Danio rerio: one gene and its partner. The protein of the gene in region 1 purifies or fractionates together with the protein of each later gene. This does not show direct contact. Links are inferred from orthologs where the notes say so. Each region holds a gene or a part of one and is shown on either strand. Other genes may lie near its edges. The genes, in order: dpf1 and bcl7a.

Region 1 (3,826 bases):
GATGATGGAGGCCACTGTGCTCATTGGAACCTTCCCCAGCCTTGCGCCTCGAGACAATCCTGTCTTGGAGGTCTACAGACAATTCCTTTGTCTTCATGCTTGGTTTGTGCTTTGACATGCACTGTCAACCCTGGGACCTTATATAGACAGGTGTATGCCTTTTCAAATCATGTTCAGTCAACTGAATTTACCACAGGTGAACTCCAATTAAGCTGCTGAAACATCTCAAGTGTGGAAACAGTGGAAACAGAATGTACTTGAGCTCAATTAAGAGCTTCACGGCAAAGGCTGTGAATACTTCTGTTCATGTGATTTTTCAGGTTTTTTATTTTTAATAAATTTGCAACAATTTAAAAATTTTTTTTTCACATTGTCATTATGGGGTATTGTGTGTAGAATTTTTCCATTTTGGAATAAGGTTGTGACATAAAAAGTCTTAACATACAAAATATAAAAAAGTGCTTTGAATACTTCCCGGATTCACTGTATATGACGGAATAAATAAAAGCGTTAATCAGAGGCAACATTCAGTTCCTTCCCTGCCAACTAGCTAGCAATTTTATGCAGGACAATTAACCTCATGACACAGCAAAACAAGTAAAGCAGTTCCTTAAAGTTTTATTCTTTAGGTGATGAATTAATCTATAGAAAGTTAAAGTTGAAAAGGAAAAGTTAGTTTTGGTAATCTTCCTTTTGCTTCTTTGTTTGGAGTGATGGTCTTTCTCTGATGAAGTCAGTTTGACAGCTTCAGCCACAATATTCTTAACCACGCCCCTCTTACTGTTAATTTGCTATGAGGGAATGATGCACTGAAAGCCCCACCCCCTACTCAATATTCCGTTTTAGTTGAAAGTACATGAACAGTAATACAGGGGTAAATAAATCTTTATTAACATTGGTAATAAAAGTCTCAACAACTTCCAGTTCACATGGATTTTCAAGCTATTAAGGCGATTGTGCTACCCACTGCACCACCATGCTGCCCCTGAAGTCATTCAAAGCAATTCAAATCTGTCATTTTTGCTTTAAATTATTTAAAACCTCATTGTTATTTTTGTGGGAATGACGATCATATTTTCTCATGTAACATCCTAATAAAACAAATGTATAAAAAAGAAAAGGTTACAGTAATGCCGTAATAAATGAATCTTTGTTAACATTGGTAATAAAAGTGTCAGCAACTTCCAGTTCACATAGGTTTTAAATAAAAATATTGACAATATGAAAGGACAGCCTAGAGTCCTGATTTACACTTGATTGAAAGTCCTTAATAGGATGTTAAGGTCATTTAAAGCTATTTAAATCTGTCATATCTGCTTTAAATTATTTAAAACCTCATCGTCATAAAACAAATGTATAAAAAAGACAAAGAATTTAAGTAATAAATTAATCTTTGTTAATATAAGTAATCAAAGTCTTAGCAACTTCCAGTTCAAATGGCTTTTTAAAAATACTGACAAAATGAAAGGACAGCCTAGAGTCCTGAACTAAACCTAATTAAAAATCCATGGTGAGATGTCATTCAAAGTTATTCAAATCTGTCATATCTGCTTTAAATTTTTTAAAGCCTCATTCTTGACACATAGGTGAAACCTACTGGTTTGAAGAATTTGAGAAAGTACAAGGATTTGAAATGGCAGTGAATTAGTATTTTGGTATTTTTGTCATGCTTAAAGGGTTAGTTCACCCAAAATTGAGAATTTGGTCATCATTTACTCCATTATTTACCCCATTATTGCTTCAAATCTTAAAGAGTTTATATATTTTTTTCTGTTCAGCATAAAAGAAGATATTTTGAAGAAAGCTGGAAACCTGTAACCATTGACTTCCATAGTATTTGTTTTTCCAACTATAGAAGTCAATGGTTGTTGGTTAATGGTTTCAAACATTTTTCAAAATATCTTCACCAGTGTTTAAAACAATAAAGACTCTCACAAAGGTTTGGAACCACTTGAGGGTAAGTAAATTTACATGTTTGGGTGAACTTTGTTTAATTAGAGCCTTTAATATGTCGTGAAATGTTTCATTTTGTGACAAGATTTTTGGTAAATAAACTATTGGTATACTGAATGACTTGTTAGTTTGCATCTTTAGTCGTGGCTAACTGATTTTCATAGTCATTATTTCATTGTTTAGAGAAAATAAAATGAAACAGGCCACAATCTCGTACATGAGAGGAAAAAAAATAACCTGTATTAAACTTAGATTGTTTTTGAAATGTTTCCAGCCTTGGTGAGGAGTTTTATCGTGAGGCGATTGAGCACTGCCGCAGTTATAATGCTCGACTTTGTGCCGAACGCTCCATGCGCCTGCCCTTCCTCGACTCCCAGACAGGTGTAGCACAGAGTAACTGCTACATATGGATGGAGAAGACTCACCGTGGGCCAGGTGTGTGTCTGTGTGTATCCTACTACACAGGTGACTTTAACATAAGTTTTGGGTTTTGGGTGTTTATGTGGCCACTCTGCATCTGTTTGACCCAGGTGTGGCTCCAGGGCAGCTCTATACCTATCCTGCACGGTGCTGGAGGAAGAAGAGACGGTTGAACATCTTAGAGGATCCACGTCTTGGACCCATCGAGTTTAAAATCGGTAAAATTAAACTAAATGTTTGATGTTTTTGTAAGTATGACAATCGTATTTTTCCACATATCATCCTAATAAAAAATGTATAAAAATTAAAACGGTTACAGAAATGCAGTAAGAAATGAATCTTTGTTAACAGTTAATGAAAATAAAGTCCTACATTGTTAGTTAGCTCACAGTGCATTAACTAATGTTAACAAGCCTAAAGATATTTTAATAATTCATTATTCTGTGTTGAACGATAACAAAAGGCAACACACTGTTATACTACATAAACTTATTATTCTCTTTCCATCTTTTTCTGAGACTAGTTTCTATATGCATCTCCTCCTAAACCATTCAAGTTACAAAGACCAAACTAACTGCAAACCTCCAAACTGCTCTGACTCGGGTTGCTATATCTTTTCCAACTTGTCAGAAAAAATGACCCGGAAGTTTCGGAAAAGTCCCATTGACTTAACATTAGACCAAACTATGTGACCTCATAACTCTGCTCCAGACTGTCATACAGAATTAAGTTTGGGCTCATTTAACTCAGACTACTAATCTGCCAATCAATGATATATTTTAACTTAGTAGCCACACCCTAGCAACCACTTACAGTACCCTAGCAACTGTTCCATAGACTTACATTGTAAAAAAATTGCCATTGACTTTACATTGAACATACTAAAGACATACAAATTCATAATAGCAATATACTAATCCATGCTAGAACTATGCTAATTCAAATTAGAATCATGCTAATTTATGTTAGCAACTGCCTAGCAGCCACTCAGAACACCCTAGCAACTTCCTAGCAACACCTTAGCAACTGCCTAGCAACCACTCAGAACATCTTAGCAACCGCCTAGCAATTAATCAGAACACCCTAGCAATGACTTAGAAACTGCATAGCAATCACTCAGAGCACCTTAGCAACTACATATCAACACCTTAGCAACCACTTAGAACACCCTAACAACCACCTAGCAACACCTTAGCAATGACCTGGAGTATCCTAGCAACCGCCTAGCAAAGCCTTTGCCACCACTCAGAACACCCTAGCAACTCCTTAGCAACTGCCTAGCAACCACTCAGGACACCCTAGCAACCACTCAGAAAATCCTAGCAACTGCCTAGCAACACCTTGCAACCACATAGCAACACTTTAGCGACCATACAAAACACTCTAGCAACCGCCTAGCAAGAAACATGCCAATCCATACTAGAAACATGCTAACATATATGTACTTATCTAT
Region 2 (4,403 bases), on another chromosome or scaffold:
GTGGGAAGCACCAACATGTTTTATCATGCTAAATGCATTTTAAGGTTCTGTTATAATGCTGCTTTGTGAGCTCTAACAAAACACAAAACATGTTAAACATCTTTGGTGTTTCCCACTACATGTTTTCTATAAAACCAAACCAAGGGTGGTCAAGGGTATTTGACATAATTAGCATGGGAACACAGGACATGGTCCTTGTCACTAAAACTGCTTATTTCTTTGGACTTAAACATTTTTGAAAGCATTACCAGAAAATAATAAAAAATATATAACACTATGAAAAGGCGACACGGTGGCTCAGTGGTTAGCACTTTCACCTCACAGCAAGAAGGTCACTGGTTTGAGTGCCAACTGGGTCAGTCGGCATTTCTGTCTGAAGTTTGCATGGTCTCCCCGTGTGGGCGTGGGTTTCCCCCACAGTCCAAAGACATGCGCTATAGGTGAATTGGGTAAGCTTAATTGTCTTTTGTGTGAGTGTTTCTGAGTTTGTATGGGTGTTTCCCAGTACTGGGTTGCAGCTAGAAGGGATCCGCTGTGTTAAAAATATGCTGGATAAGTTGATGGTTCATTCCGCTGTGGCGACCTCAGATTAATAAAGTGACAAAGCTGAAGAAAATTGAATAAATTAATAAATGAACATGTTCATTTACACGTTCATCTTACATGTTTTGCCTTTACATTGTTGGTTATGTTTTGGGTTAAATCATAGGCAAGTGAATGTGCAAATTAGCGTCTTTGCTAATAATGCACTCACATATATAACCTCTGCAATGTTAAAGACTATTTGGCTAAAATACATTATGATTTTCAAAATGTAGCAATCTTTTGATCTCAACAAACGTTACTCTTTCTCCTTTCAGGGTCTCTGTTGGAAAGTGTGCTTCCAGCTGAAATCACCATGGACGCATTTGCCTCAGATATATTGGGCTTTTCTGTCGCCACCCAGGAGCTCCATCAAGAACACCACGGACAGGAGTCATAATATATTTACATTTCCCTGCTTATGTTCATGCGTTGTCAATAAGTAATGTATTTTAAAACAGATGGACTGTTATTGTGTGGTTAGCGAGCTGTTGTGTTATATGTTTGCGTTCAATTCTTTCGCATAGAGATAAAATCATACGAAAATAAAACATGTCGTTTGTCAACATGCTGTCGATTGAAGTCTCCATTTTTTCCAGATACATTTATAAAACGTGTGTTGATGTCGTGGTGCTGGTTTCGATTCGCTCGTCTAGCTCAGCAATCTGATAAAATATCGTTTTCTTTGCTCTGTTCGCCAACAAAGGAGCGAAACGCGTACCCGCATTGACCGTGTCTCTCATGCTTCGAGGGCATTTGGCTTCAGCGCAGGCGCACAAACCCCGCCTCTCTCCTGTGCTGTGTGCATTCGCATTGTGTCTAAACAGGCAGCGAGCAAAAAGATATTTTACCAACAGCAGTAATGTCGGGCAGGTCGGTTCGAGCGGAGACGCGGAGCAGGGCGAAAGATGACATCAAGCGGGTTATGGCTGCAATTGAAAAAGTGCGGAAATGGTAAGAGAGAGCGTCTATCCGTTAACGAACAGCACAGACAGCCTGTGGGGGAGGAGAGACACCGAGAAACAATGAAATGAAAGCGAAGAGAGCGTTTATTCCACTCCAATTTCACTCAGATGTACTGTTTCTGCGATTCTGCGCGCGGCTGCTCCTTTGTCGGCTGTGTGAAAACATAGTTTGGGAAAATGTAGATCGCGTTTTTTCTTCCATTAAATTTTTATGTGGGTTGAACCTAGAAGCCATTTCGTTGCAGTCACATGAAGGCTTTGCTGTTAGAGCCTGTAATGCCGGCTGAATAGTAACCGAACGGGCTGACATGAGGAAACTAGAGTGAACCGTCCGTACCGAACAGAAAGTGCCGGTGAACGGGCGTTTGACTCGTTCATCTCGTGTTGAAAGTGAGAGAGTCGCGCTTTGAGCGGCGGCGCGTGAGGAGAGTTTGATCCACGCGCGGGGTTTTAAACTCAGCCCTGAGCCGCAGTTTCACATACACTTTTTTACACTTCAAGCAACTGCTGGGGATTTCGTTTAAACTTAAGTTTAAGTTGAATTAAGGGTTTTCAAACCATGACAAATTATTTGTTGGACTAACAATAATTACCAAAACAATATTTATTCTATAAAAGTATACATGTTAAATGAGAAACAATCGTGTTTTTGTGGCAACGTGCGATTAAAATTGTACACATCTGTGAGCTAGTGAACTGCATTATTATTAGTATTTATTTTTATGATAATAATTATTTACTATTGATATCGATAATTTGTTCAGTTGCATATTCTGCAAATGCATCTTGCCTAAATAATGGCTCATCTGAGATTTCTTATGCCTCTAAATGTAAGTGATTTAGTGGTTTGTCCTCATTTGTCTGGCGTTTCCTTTGTCTTTGATATCTAACAATAACATGCATCTCCAGGGAGAAGAAATGGGTGACTGTTGGTGACACGTCACTGCGAATCTACAAGTGGGTACCAGTGACGGAGCCCAAGTCAGATGATGTAAGTGACATTTATTTACAATAACGCACAGCTGTTGCAGTTTTGATAACCTAATAATTATTGTAACATTATGGACCACAACCAACAAATTCATTTGAAAGTTGGAACAAAATAGTCAAGGTAAAATATGACGCAAATGACTTTTTAATGAGTAATTCTATAGTTATTATTTTTTTAATTTAGTAAAGGTAAATTAGTAGTGGTATTCGTTGAGGGGGAAACATATTTCAGTTGTAGCATAACACAGACCAGTATTATTGTTTTTAACAGAGATTAAATTCATATTTATTTTAAATAAAATAAGTTAACTAAAATGAGTCGTATTTAAAACAGACACAACATATTTTACTATCTTCTTCATATGCCTTGATTGCAATATGTATTTATGTCACACAGAAGAACAAAAATAAGAAGAAAGGCAAAGATGACAAGTATGGCTCTGAGGTCACGACCCCTGAGAACAGCTCCTCTCCTGGAATGATGGATATGCATGGTAAAACTGTACACCTAAACACATCTCAATGTTTTACCTTTTTCAAATTAGTATTACATGCAGTAGTCTTTAAACCAATTTATGTGAGAATTTCAAATTGTGTTCTTTGTGATCCTCAAACAGTTGGTCTAATATGCATGACTAAGATTTTGAAGTGTTACCTGCTTTTTATTAGAAAAAAATCATTATTATAATTATTAATGATGGCAGCTTTGAATGTGCATTTTTTCCTCTTAACCAATAGAGGGAGTTGATGAAACAGTTTTACTCTGTGAACTGGTTATTTGCTATGCTATTCCGACCTGTAACCACCTATTAACAGTTACAAATGCATGGACATTTTCAGATATTAAAACTTTTTTTGTTTCTATTTTTTTACCCACAGATGACAACAGTAACCAGAGCTCGATTGCGGACTCTTCCCCATTGAAGCAGGAAACCAGCAACAACACTAGTCCAGCACCTGAGCCCATGGCCGCTTCTCAGAATGACAGCAGTGACTTGAAAAACGACCAGTATCCTTCCAAACAGCCTTCATCTGGTCAGGATCATAAGAGTGGTTTGTGCATTGAATCCTCTAGAGGCTTACTATCCACTTGTCTGTGTTTTTGGTTTGTTTGTTTTAATGAAACCTTGTCATTATTTTCAGAACAAAACCACTGCTCATCGGAGTCTATGACAAGCAAAAGGGACAGCAAGTCACAGGGGGATTCAGAAAGCTTTTTAGACTCTTCCAAATCGGCCCAGGTACATACATACAGCATCACTTGCATATTTATTCATAAATCAACAGTTTTAAAATAAGATTTAAAATAGTTTTTAAAATACATCCATATTGCTCAATGAGGTGTTTAATCCTAAATACAGCAAAACAGCTATATTGTGGATTAATGTTACATTTCATGATTCATATTTTATTTCATAGAACAAAGTAAAGTTGTTCCTAAACCTTTTATCCTAAAGCTAGAGATGTGCTGTTGTGAACCGAGGCTTCGAAGCATGTATCAAAAAATAATACATCTCGCAGTAAAGCAGTGTACCGGAGTTAAATTTGTTTTGCCATAATCACATGATCAGTGACGTACGAAGCTTTATTTTTACCCATACCCACATGACTGCTTTAAATTTTGATTTAAAGGTTTAAACATCCTTGCAGGTTAGGAAAGTGTATAGCGAGAGATGAGGTGTCGATTACTTTAATTTCTACTGCTTCAAAGCACTGCACCAGTGCCCCGCACAGACTAAAGTATAATAGTAATTTATAGTAAAAAACTTTTTAACCATACTAAAGTGTATTATTTTTTTTTTAGAAGGCCACTGCATATTGTAGTATAGTTTGTAACGGAGGCCAGCTGGCAAGTGCATAGCAAAA

Evidence for each region.
Region 2: the proteins of dpf1 (region 1) and bcl7a purify together in Homo sapiens (affinity purification with mass spectrometry; 3 studies listed by BioGRID and IntAct, counting the BioPlex papers as one, with this or other methods). This does not show direct contact. The link is inferred for Danio rerio from reciprocal best matches to the Homo sapiens genes DPF1 and BCL7A.

What each region holds. Positions count from the first base shown.
Region 1 is NC_133190.1:16,350,277-16,354,102, reverse strand, and holds part of dpf1 (zinc finger protein neuro-d4), read left to right. Parts: intron 1-2,227; coding exon 2,228-2,388; intron 2,389-2,483; coding exon 2,484-2,591; intron 2,592-3,826. UniProt on the Homo sapiens protein: May have an important role in developing neurons by participating in regulation of cell survival, possibly as a neurospecific transcription factor. Belongs to the neuron-specific chromatin remodeling complex (nBAF complex).
Region 2 is NC_133180.1:42,613,705-42,618,107, forward strand, and holds the start of bcl7a (B-cell CLL/lymphoma 7 protein family member A), read left to right. Parts: upstream 1-1,379; 5' UTR 1,380-1,444; coding exon 1,445-1,536; exon of another isoform or gene 1,537-2,375; coding exon of another isoform or gene 2,376-2,377; intron 2,378-2,456; coding exon 2,457-2,538; intron 2,539-2,934; coding exon 2,935-3,031; intron 3,032-3,416; coding exon 3,417-3,572; coding exon of another isoform or gene 3,573-3,590; intron 3,591-3,680; coding exon 3,681-3,778; intron 3,779-4,403. Other genes in the region: cfap251 (cilia- and flagella-associated protein 251), read left to right, coding at 861-982.